2 linked regions of the Drosophila melanogaster genome follow. The protein of the gene in region 2 interacts with the protein of the main gene of each other region in a pairwise test. Each region holds a gene or a part of one and is shown on either strand. Other genes may lie near its edges.

The links.
Region 1: the proteins of Tom70 (region 2) and Lmx1a interact in a two-hybrid assay, tested with the Drosophila melanogaster proteins (one large-scale study listed by BioGRID).

What each region holds. Positions count from the first base shown.
Region 1 is NT_037436.4:12,327,593-12,335,256, reverse strand, and holds the start of Lmx1a (LIM homeobox transcription factor 1 alpha), read right to left. Parts: upstream 6,026-7,664; 5' UTR 5,788-6,025; coding exon 5,004-5,787; intron 1,051-5,003; coding exon 172-1,050; intron 98-171; coding exon 1-97.
Region 2 is NT_033779.5:12,035,456-12,040,309, forward strand, and holds Tom70 (translocase of outer membrane 70), read right to left. Parts: upstream 3,057-4,854; 5' UTR 2,838-3,056; exon of another isoform or gene 2,716-2,837; 5' UTR 2,676-2,715; coding exon 1,700-2,675; intron 1,610-1,699; coding exon 816-1,609; 3' UTR 548-815; downstream 1-547. Other genes in the region: CG18788 (uncharacterized protein), read left to right, coding at 1-530; CG6766 (uncharacterized protein), read right to left, coding at 3,372-3,872, 3,930-4,747, 4,810-4,854.

The sequences.
Region 1 (7,664 bases), on a different chromosome or scaffold from region 2:
GACAGCGAGTCCGCATCGTCATCCAACTGGTCAAAGTTGCTCCCATCCAGCGAGAGGTCCGAGCTGCAGAAGCTGTCATTCGAGTTGGCCGGATAGTCTGTTGAAAAGCAAGCCATTAGTACTTGTAGAATAATGCTTGGACGAAATCAAACTTCAAATCGAACCACTTACCATCCGGTGAGAAGGGCAAATTGGGATTCAGCGGCTGGCTGGCGAAAGTGCTGTCCAATCCACCCAAATAACCGGAGCTATCTCCTCCGAGCTCCTGCTTGACGCACTTGTCCTCCTTGTCATTGGTGTCCTTATCGTCGGTGGCGCTGGAATTGCCCGTGCCACGCCCACTGCCCGATCCTCCGCCGGAGCCACCATTCTGCTTGGCCTTGCGCTGAATCTTCTTCATCTTGGCGCGCTGATTTTGGAACCACACCTGCACTACACGAACCGATAGGCCGGTGTCCTTGGCCAGGGCTTCGCGCACTTTGCGACATGGTTTGGGTGACTGATCGAAGGAGGCCTTAAACTGTTTGCGCTGCTGCGATGTGAGGATGGTGCGTGGTCGTTTCGGACCTCTCCTTCCATCCCGTGGCCTCAGCAAATCCTCCTCGTCCAGGCCAACGAACCCACAGTGCTGAGCAGCAGCGGCTGCCAGAAACATCTCCTTCTCCAGATCGTGACGATAGCAGAAGAGCTGGCCATCGCGCAGCATGAACTGCTCGCCCTTCTGGAGCGGCAATCGGCAGGCGTAGCAAACGAAGCAGGGCAGGTGGAAGACAAAGTTCGGTATGGGTCGCATTACCAGCTCCTGCGGCAGGATCGCATGGCAGCAGGAGGAGCACTTCACACCGAACAGCCGGTCGTAGTCCATCTTGCAATAGAGTTTCGAGTTGCGCACGTAGCAGGTGTGGTGCAGCTGCATTCCGCAGTAGCAGCAGGCCAGGCACTGCTCGTGCCAGTTGGCATCGCCCACGTTCATCAGGAATCGGTCATGGATCTTCTGGCCACAGCCCTCGCACAGCTCGAAGTTCTTCTCGCACTTGATGTGGCCCACTTCTGGGGATGAAACAAGCAAAGATGGGGGAAAAAAGTCGCGTTAGTAAGTCGCAGAATACATTTCAAGTAACTAATACACTGAGGTTTAAAATATAATAAATATATCTATCTACATTAATAATCAATTTAATCGAATATTTAACCCATACTTGGAAAATATATATGAAACATTTTCTTGAGAACAGAAATATTTCAAAGAAGAATCCTAATACTTTAGTAATTTTGTTCCAGTGTAACTCCGCTTATTCGCCCTACTGTGATGGGCGTACGTGGCGTATACGTGATGGCGGCACATGTCGCTGCGAAATTATCATGACATGTGCTGCCAATGGAGCAAGGAGCGCGCTGACAATCGAATCGTGTGAAAATGCTTCAACGTCTCTCTTGTTTTTCCGTTCGCTGTTTCGCACTTTCGATGGAAAAACAGAAGGAAAACTCTTCGCTGGAAAAAATTATCTGTCGTCGGACTGCAACAGCTTGTATTGAAAGCTTATTGATGCGTAATTGAAACGTAAAGTTTTCCGTATTTGTTCGGTATTATTGAACAGCCCCCCATCTCGATTATCAATGTATATAAACATGCCAGAAAATGGCTCAATTGATATTGTATATACCACCGAACTTAAGCCAAAGCTTAACTCCTAAACAAAGTCCCTTAAAAAATGCTAATCTCCCATTGAGGAGCTACTGGATTTCAGCTCGCCTTACCCAAAGTAGAACGAACCTAATCCTCCCGTAGACGGAGCTCTTGAAACTGTAAACCAGTCATAAAAAGTAGTACCCGAAAAACACAACAAAAGCTGCATGCAGTAAACATAAAAAATATATGACGACCGCCACGAAAAATGTATGGAAGCATTTGAAAAATGAGCAGCGAGTTGGGAAAGTGCGGAGGGAAAGTGGAGAAAAAGTGCGGAGGGAAACTGGCAATGGAAGTGGAGTGTTATATTATATGGCTGTGGCTCAGTGGCAGAAAAATGTGCATGATTTATGGTTGGCACAATGGCCTCCCCACACACACAAACGCACACAGTCGCCATATCTACGCGAATGTGGCTGTATGGGTGATATATAGTCTGGGAATAGGGACGAAAATCCCTATGTAAGGGGGCGCTAAGCCAGTGCAGCGGAAAGTTGACAATGTCCTCGGGCATTTTCCTATTTTCCTTTTTTTTCTGTTTTTTGGCTTGCATTTCATCCTATTGTGCAGTATCCATATCCAATCGCATTGGCGATAAAGGTTTTTGCATGGGCCGAGCAAAAAATCAAGAATGATTCATTTGATAAACCCCAGAGGGGAGCTGCGTTTTGAGTTTGGCCTCATGTTTTTGTAGAGCTTTGAGCATCGATATTGTGACGGGATTTCGTTTGTGTAATCTAATCGAAATTTATGGCATTTTACTGCAGTTTTATGTATGCTTTTTTTCCGATTTCTCTGTATTGTTTTGGCCAACAAAGGACTCTGCATTGAGTGAGTGTGTGTTTTTGGGCTTGAATGGTAAAGCCTGGGCGAAACTTGTCCAAAAATCAACAAACAACAAGCGCAAACAGTCGGAACAAGTGCGGCACACTCATGTCAAATACATAGATTAAACAGCAGATAAATCCAAAATCAACTCGACGATAAACATAGAACTAATAGAGAAAAGTGTCCTCGTCGTTATCGCCGATAAAGGGGCTTATCTGCCCGAACGCCCCACGATTGTCGCACTATATGGTGCATTTATTGACACATTGACAGCGGGGCGGGGTTATATGGAGATAAATCGGCAGACAGCACCCAACTTCTGGCACTAATTCGGCCACTAACTGGAGTCCAGTCCACGTGCCACGCGGATTTTGGCAGCAGTTCATCGTTGACAGGCAGCTCATAATTCGACAGCTTTCATTTCGACTGACAAACAAACAGGGTCTTTAAAACTCTTCGTTGCTATCTACACCATGGAAATGGTATTAATCATAATATAAAATAATGAATAAAATAGGATGAACTTCAAAAACTACTCTTTTAAAATGTAAGATACAGATTTAATCAAATTACAAATAGGGATTGCAAAATATATTGACTTTTGCATTCTAAACTCAAATGTAGTACTCTTTGTGAGTTCCAGTGGATTTTCCGTATAGTTCTTGAATAGCAGTTTTGTTTCAGTGTAGCTGGATCTCAACGGAAAGTGACACAGAACTATGCGTATGGCGCATACTTCCGCCACACAAATGCACACCTACTGGCGATTGGGTGGGTGGGGTTTGTGGGTAGGACAGGAAGACGAAGCTGGAGCCACCGCAGAAGCCAAATATGTATGCTGATACGCTCGGTGGAATACCTGACACTGAGTGTGCTCATTTCCGTGGTCTGCCCCCGAGTGCACACCACCCCCAATGGCAGCCCATTCGAAATTCCTCGACCTCTGCAAAGTGTGGGCCACCGATAGTAGTTTAGCAGCCGGCATCCAAGTGTTTGCCGAGGAAAATGGAGCTTAGGATGAGAGGCGGGGAGTGGTGTGTGGATTGGGGTAGTGGCACGGAACGAGCGGAAACGGAAACTATTTGCTGCCATTTGGGCAATGGCAAATGGCAAATAGCAAATGGCAGAATGCGAGCATTAATAGAAATTTCATAGGCAAATGCAAAGTTGGCCGGCAAGAGAGCACAGCTATTGTGGGCGATTGAGTGGGCGGATGAGGGGCACTAAAAAACCGAAAACACAATCCACTTAGCCTCGGACGAGGTCTGGTCTGCATATGCATCACACACATTGTTTGCACACTTTGCATTTCGGAGGGAAATTCGCAAAAGTTTTCCCCAGCAACACTTTCGTTGCAACTCAGCTGAAAAGTGTTGCCTATTTTGAGGCTGTCATGCATGCGAGTGTGTGTGTATGTGTGCCTGCATGCCAAAGCATCAGTGTGTGTGTGTGTGTGTGTGTGGGAGGGAGGCAGTGTGTGGCATGCTTTAATAGCCTTTTATTGGTCGAGCCACGCCTCTTTTTGGCCGTGCCGGGCGGATGTCAGACAGGTTCATTGTCAAAATTATTTTGTGGTCAACTTGCGTTCATACTTTTGGAAATACTTTCGCCATGCTTGCCGCACATCCGCCCACTGAACTATCCACAACATGTGTGCGCCATCACAACTACAAATTCATAATTTATTGTCCTCTGTCAATATATATGTACGTGTTAGCCGGAAATTGTGCATTTGCTTTTGCCTGTTTTTACATAAGTGGACAATCTGCCTCTGGCTATTTCACTTGCTAAAAAGTAAATCCAACTCTTTGAAAGCTGAGTTGCAATTAAGTTCCAAGTTAAACATGGATTTATGCTAATATTGATACAATAATAATTAACAAAACCTATGATATATCTAACCAAATTGACTTTACTTGCATTCTGCAAACTAAAAGCAAACTAGTAACAAATAAGAACATTCTTATTTAATGTTTTTTAAATTATTATTTACTTTTGATTTTAGGCTAATTAATATGAAGAATACTTTTCTCTTATATTATTTTAATGTTATGAATATATACGCTAATTTTTACTGCAATCAATAAATGCTGAAATATTCCGCTTAAAGAAAAGTTTCAGGAGTAAACACCTTTTGAAATAAGCACTTCAACTTTATTCGCAAGAAAAAACAACGAATATCTATATATTTTCCCCTAGAGAAGCATTCCTTGGGCCCCAAAAAGCCGAGCACATCGCACGCAAACTGCCGGCATACTCAGGTGTGGGTGGTTGTACACAATCTGGAGCCTCGTCCGACCAGCTTGGAACTCACGCAGCGCAGCACCGAACCTGGACACGGATACGGATGCTGATGCGGATACAGAAACGGACCCGCAGGCCGGGCACACGCAAGTATGCCAAAAACGAAAAGCGTGAAAACCCCAGAAGAGGAACGAGCCGGTAAATTGCTCGACTGCCGGTGCAAAATACTTTTGGAACATACCTGTGCGTCCGCTGCAATCGGCAGACAATTTGGATGCCGCTGCTGCCGATGCCGTTGCTGCACCACCTCCATTCCCATTTCCATTCCCGTTTCCATTGCCATTGCCATTTCCGTTTCCGTTGCCACTGCCATTTGCATTTCCGCTTCCTGTGGCCGCTGGGCCCGTCGATGTGGGTGTCGTCGCAGCGGCAGCCGCCGCAGCAGCAGCAGCAATCGCCGCAGCAACTGCTCCGCCTAATTGCGAGGTGGCTACTGAGGTGCCTGCTGGCGATGGAGCTGCCACAGCAGCGGCAGAGGCAGCGGCAACAGCAGCAGCTGTTAATGTGTTGCAGGCTGAGTGGAGGTTGTTGCTGCTGCTGCCCCCGTTGTTGTTGTTGTTGTTATTGTTGTGGTTGCTGTTGCTGCTGCTGCTGCTGAGGGGGCTGTGTCCTGTGGGCGTGGGGCAGCTGTTAATTGGCACTGGCGTGGTCGAGGCAGCGTGTTGCTGCTGGTGTTGCTGATGTTGCTGGTGGGGGTGTTGCTGCTGCTGCTGATGTTGCTGCTGCTGGTGCTGCTGATGCTGCCCCGTTAATGAAGCCGTTGCCGTGGGACTATTGTTGCCGGAAATGCTTGTTGGCAGATTGTTGTTGCTATTGCTAAGATGCAGGGAGTTGCCGCTGCTGGCAGTCATGCTGCCGGGATTTGGATTGTCCAGGAATCGCGCGCCGCCATGATTCTGCTGCAGCGAGTACAAACTGCCACCGACTGGATTCAGATTCGTGGGCATTGGGTAGAACTCCAGCATCGTATACGAGTTGCCACAAAACACCGCTGTTACTTTTTTAGTTTCGAGTCTACGAAAATGTCACATGCAACACCGCACAAGGAACACGCGACACACAAACAAGACGCTCGATTGCTTTTGCTTTAACTTTAACTACGCTTCTGTTCAGTTTCGTTTAGAATATGATTTCGGTGGCCTATTCTTGCGCTGCCGAATGCGAGGACAACCAGCCGCGTTCGCTGTCAGTTGGCGTGTGATCGAACCATCAGCGAAATCAAAGCATTTCACTTTGCCCTCACAAAAAAAAAAAAAAATCCCAGCTGAAACGTACCCCCGCGCACTGCGCCTGCGCCTGTTTACAAAAGCAACGGAGCGACGGAGCAACGGAGCTGCGGAGCAACAACTGCCGCTTGGCCTGCGGCAACAACAGCAGCTCTTCGTGTTGCACGTGATGCCAGGGGTTGTATCGGTGCAAGGGTTGCAGCAACCCCCTCTCTGCCCCGGCAGTGCGCATGTCTCAAGTGATTATTAGCAGCGAGGGAAATTCTGGCAGAGAGCAAGTCCCTCGCAAATCGCTGGCCACACCTCAGCCTCGCTGCGATTGGCTGGCCATTTCCCCGGCGTCCATTTTGCCGCACGGCGCATGTGCGCAGGGGAAGTGCGGGTTTTCTTTTCTTTTGTTTTTTTTTATATTTGGTTTTCTCATATTCGTAGATGTCTTGGCTTTAATGCAAGACCAAGTCGGCTTGTGGGCGGCCATCGGTGGGCGTGCGGCAGCTGCATGTTGCTGGTTGTTGCTGGTGTTGCTGCCGCTGCTGCTGCTGCTGATGGGGCACAAAGACATACTTGCACTTGCACTCGCGGCAACTTTGGCGAGTTTGCCGCTCGACGGCGACAATTTCCTTGAGTTGTTGCTGCTGCTGCTGTTGGCTCTTTGAGTGGCACGACTGGACCAGAATGCCAGCAACAACAAAGGCAACAAACACAGCAGTGGCAGCAGTAGAGGCAGAAAAAAACAATGGCCTTGTCTTCTTTTACGCTTTTTTGCACTTGCATTTTACTTTTTGCGGGTGAAAAAAGTTGGCGATAAACAAGATGGGAACGGGTGCTTCTCAATACATTGGGCAGGTTATTTAAGGACCTAATGTCTCACAACAAAAGTTTTTTGAAATTCTTAAAGGATTCTTAAAATTTAAATGAACTAGTTTTGAATTCTGGATAATGATTTCCATACATTTTATTCCATTAATGTTATTATGTCTACTGTAAAAGTGAAGATTAAGTCTGTGACTATAGTATTATTAAAGAACTTAGTAAAACTGAAGTATAATCTCTTTATAATTGATTCAAGACATTATTTATTGTAGTTACTCAAAGAGAAAAGATGTTTATTTATTTCTTTTCAAAATCAATCTTTTTTAAGCAGTTTTCAAAGTTGTAAGACTTCATAAAAATAAGTTTCTTTTATGAAATTACATTTATAGAATTCTTATTCCGATAATATCTTTAAATTAAATAAAAGTTGCTTTTAAGCAAGATTTAAGATTTATTAAGTTTTCAATGCTCATACCCCTCTAATTTCCAGCGATTTAAAGCGGAAGTGGCAATGTCACCCTGTATGAGCATCAAAAGCCCACCGACAACTGGGAGGCAGCCCCATTTCCGGCGCCCCCAAAGAGGCCGAAACCCAACTATCCGCCCCCGCAAACACGCACACACTGAAGCACAGATACTATCACCGAGGATGAGAAAGGATGAAGGAAAAGAGAAACCCGAGCGGCAAGAAGAAAAGCGGAAGCTGGAAAGACAAACCAAACATGGTGCTGTGCATAAAAGTTTGGCGCTACTTCTGGAGTCGAAGCTCGAATTCTTGGCCCCCTTTTGGGCCACCACACCAT
Region 2 (4,854 bases):
TCCAACAGAAATTGCCCCAGGAGCTGCAAATTGCGCTAGAGGAAGTAAGAGCCCGTGGCACCAGTTTCTCAGAACTAACCACCATCATCGAAACGATAGCACCGTCCGTTGGAAACTGGATAGCTTCACTGACAACAGGGCGGCTGAGCGACGTGCTAATCGAGCAGCAGATTCTCACGCGCACTCAGACACGCCGCCTCATGTCCTGGTTGGTCTTCCTATGCGGATCCATGTACATGCTACAGATCAAGATGAGCGGAGCACGAATCTGGAGCGTTCTTGGCATGGGAGCCTACTATGCGAGCATTAAGCTGCTACCGCTGGATATGAGTCCCAACTATGCTGGCACTTTGATGGGCATTTCGGGCGGCATGGGCGCGCTTCCAGCACTTCTGATGCCCTATCTGGAACAACTGGAGACCGACTACAAGCTGGTGAGCAGTGTGAGGGCCGCCATGTGGGTAATCGGCGCCAGCTACATATCCGGCGATGTCCAGGCGTTTAACCAACCGGAACGGGAGCCACAATGAGGAGACTTGCTTGTTTTAAGTTTAATCTTACGCTTAAACATAAGCTACTGGATTTGTCTTAGTGGATTCCTTAGGCAACAGATTCTAGTTTACATATGTACCATAATACATGACAATTTCTATGCTAAAGCTAGGAGCATAAACGTAAACAAGCTTTATATATATATATATAAATAACAGGTATGGTCGATATTAACTTAATTAGAGTAGGACTGCTGGCTAAATGCTCCGCGCTGGCTCTTATTTTCTCGGGATATCAATCCCAACACACACCGGTTTCATACTCTATGCAACGCCCTGGGCCATCAATCCGGATTGGGCCATTGCCGACACTGAGTTCATGTCGATACCCAGCTTTTTGGTGACGTTGATTTGGGCCACTGCCGCGTTGCGCAGCGAGTAAACGTGCACCAACTCCGCCTGACTCTTGGCATAAAGCAGTGCCTTTTCAAAAAGCTCGACGGCCCGTGTGAGTTGCGCCCGCTGAACTTCGACTGTTCCGAGTGTCTCGTAGGCCAGCTCGCATTTGGGATCTACTTCGATCGCCTTGTTGAGCAGCTGGACAGCCAAATTAATGTCTCCGCGCCACTGAAGCACCATGATGGCCTGGTGAACGATAAGTGCAGGATTTGTTGGCGCCAATACCATGGCCTTTTTGTAGTATTCCTCCGCCTGGGTAAACTGTTGCTGGTCGGCCAACACCTGAGCCGTTAGACTATAGCACTCAACGCAGCTCGGGAAACGCTCGATGGCATTTTGGAAGGTGTGCATTACGCTCTCCAAGCGCCGCTGGTCGCCGGCCAGGAGGGATAGTCGGTACTCGGCATAGCACTTCTGGACGAAGGCGATGGCGTGGTTGGGTGCAATGCTCACCGCCTTTTCGAACTCGGCCAAGGCGGGCTCTATCTGCTCCAGCAGCAGAAGTATCTGGGCGCGCTGGTGGTACACATCTGGGTTCTCTGGGTTCAGGCGTTCCGCCTCAGCAAAATCGGCTATACCCTTTTCGCGCTGATCCAGCTGGATGTAGAGAGCTGCCCGCTTTATGTAGGCATACGCACGCAAGTTGGGATCAGCATAGTCTGTAGTGAAATAAAGTTAATAGAATAGAAATCAAAAAACAACTGAAGAAAACCGACTAATTAATGAATTAAACTTAAACAAATTCTTACCATTAGCTATAATAGCATCAAAGTCCTGCTGGCTTTCTACATAGGAGCCGCACAGCAGATGGAAAGTTCCCCGCATAAGCAGAGCCTCCACTTTGTACTGTGCTTCGGCCTCGGAGGATTCGATCTCTTCGGTGCAGGCGGGAATAATTTCCTCGTACTTCTCCTCGAGGAAAGCGAGGTGGGCGCGCAGGAAACCCTTTGGGGGTGCATCGGATTTAGGGGCTGGGACTTTCATGGTCTGCAGCGGATCCGCGATGAAGGAACGCGTGTAGGTGTTTACGAAGCAAGCCGACGGCACGACTGGCACCCGATTGCGCATACCCTTCTCGGCGTCCAGTCGGCCGGTCTCCTTGAGCACACGGTCAGCGAACATGATAGTTTGATTATTTTGGAACATCTCCAGGATACAGGTGGCTGTGACATCGTCCAAGCACTCGTTCATATCCTTGGTGGCTTCGTGAGCACGGGCACGACGATAATATGCCTTGGCGTAACGAGGATTGAACTCCAGCGAGGCTGTGCAGTCCTCCTTGACGTTGGACCACTTCTTGAGCATCTCGTAAGAGGCGGCGCGGTTCTGGTAGAAGATGGCCATGTCAGTGCGGTGCTCCTTGGGACACTTGTCGATGGCCTTGTCATAGAATTTAATGGCCTCATCGTACTTCCCATTCCTGTAGCAGTTGTTACCCTCCGTCTTGTAGTTGTTGGCCTCCTTAAGAGGCGACAGCTTCTCGCCCAGCTCAGCGGACTTTTGATTGCGCTCTAGCTCCTGGTCCGGTGCGGTGCCGTCCAGGGAGATGGCCTGCTTCTCGATCTTGGCCTTTGGTCTCTTCTTCTCCCCGTCCAACTCCTTGGACGCAGCCGTCCAGCTCTTCACCGCATAGGTGCCCAGTCCAATGGCCAGGGGAGTTCCAAGGATGAGCGCCAGCTGCCACTTTGTCAGCTTCATCGAGCCAATGTTCAGAGTCATCGCCATTGAGCCGGTCTTTTTATGGATGTGTGTTATGTGTGATGAACTGCAAGAAAAGAGCTGAATCAGTTTGGGTGCCGCCACAAATTGTGTAATACTCCGCTGGCTTATCGCTCAGCGCCTTTTGAGCTTGCTAAATGCCGGGCGGGGGGCACGTTTCTGCAGTACCTAACCCCCAACCCAATTGATTTTTCACACCCCCAACTGGCCGGGATGTGAATCAGTGCAGTCAGCGAACGGAACTTACACTTTTTTAAAACTTTACACTGCTGTGAATTTGGCAATTGTTAAACGTCGATTGTTCTATTTTCAGTTAGAACTCGGGAAACTTAGATTCTATTGTATATCAGCCTGCTGAGCACACGACATCGAAAAACGATAGACATCGATAGGTATGGAGTAATAACGGCACTGCGAATGCTTATTATGGAAGAAGAAGATCAGTGAGAGAATAAATTGTGTGAATAGTTTAAAAAAAAACTAAGGAGTTCGAATATGATGTATTTGTAATAAAGCCTGAATTTATACTTTACGAATACTGTACGAATAAATATTTTAGATCTCTATATTACATTCTATCAGACCGAAACAGAGTTCTTAAATTTTAAAATCGGTTTCATCCACTTTACAAATTGAAATACAAATGCATTGTAATATTACAATCAATGTATTTATAGGAATTCACTAGAATACACGGACAGCCTATGGGTGATTCTCCTCATCTGTGCTGGAAGTTGGAGCTGGAGCAGGAGCAGAAGCGGAACTGGTAGTCGACTTATCGGTTTCCGTAACCAAGATCTTGTCCAGATTCTCCAGTTTAACTAGGCCCTGGGAATCGGCGTTGTGGATGAGATCACATATTGTGGGCGACTCCACGACCAGGATATACTGGCACGTCTTCGGCTCAAGCAGGTACATGGATACAGCGGTGCCGCTGTTCGTTACAGGTGTGCAGGTTAACTTCACGTCCACTTCGCGGGGCACTCCAATCTGTTCGCAGTGGGTTCCCTTGCCATAATGGTGCCAGATGGATGTCGTGAAGCCGGAACGGCGTGCACCCTTGTCCGGGTTGGCGTTGGACCAAGCACGATGCGCTTCCTCTGAGAAGTAGCCAAGAAAGAGCTCCACTTCGCTGGTCTTATCTTTGTGGAACTGACGCACATGTCGGCCATAGCAGAACTCGTACTTCCACCAGCCATTGCCCTAAAAAAAAGAGTATTATTGAAGCAAATGCATGGGTCAGCTGCATGTTATTCCTACCCCAGTTAGGCAGTTCTTGCCCGATATAAAGTCCTTAAGGGGCGTCAGATCAGTGATGGGTGTTGGTCCAGTTTCAGAGGCTGCTATAGACAGCAGGAGCTGCTGAAAGTCTCCGTCTACCTTCAGGTCACCATTCCTGAAATGCTCGAGCAGGACTTTTTCCATATCACCGCCATAGTTAAGGGTGACCAAATCGCCATCCGTCTTGGGCCACAGATTTTCCGTAGCCTTTTCCTTGAAAACCAGCAGATCCGCCTCGGATTCAACCCATTCCTTTAGCTCCGACCGCAGCATGCTCAGCGGTCTGTGCGGTTTCGATTCGGAGTTGAAACATTGTATGGATAGTTCCTTGGTCTCTTCGGCATGAAGGGCGCGAATTGGGCACAGCGCCGAGGAAAGTATAATGGCCTCATAATTGCACGAGGATGTCTCCTTGAAGGAGTAGATATCGTTCTTACCATGGGGATAGCACACATAACGCACCATTGTGGTGCGAGGAGCGTTAATTATGTCGCACATAGTGCCATCGCTGTATTCCATCTCAAAGTATGGATACCGAGTGTTGTCGATCTTCAGGCTTTTGTATTTCGGCTTAACGCCCGCCTTGATGTCTGCTTGCCAGGCTTTTGTCAGTATTTCCATCTTTTCATCGGTCCATTTGCCCAGGTAGTACTCCTGGAACTTGACGTTCTTTCCTTCGCGCTCCTCGTGATACTGACGCACATGGTGGCCATGGCAGATTTCGTACGACCAGTAGGCCTCGATGCGGTACGTGCAAGTCAGGGCGGAGAAAATGGGCTGCAGCAGAGTAATTGGAGCTGCGGAATTCGGAAATTATGTATAATCCAATGGGATGTTAGTTGCAATGCCAATTTCTTACACAACTCTGGCTTGTCGGACTTTTCCTCCTCTTTTTGGTGTTCCA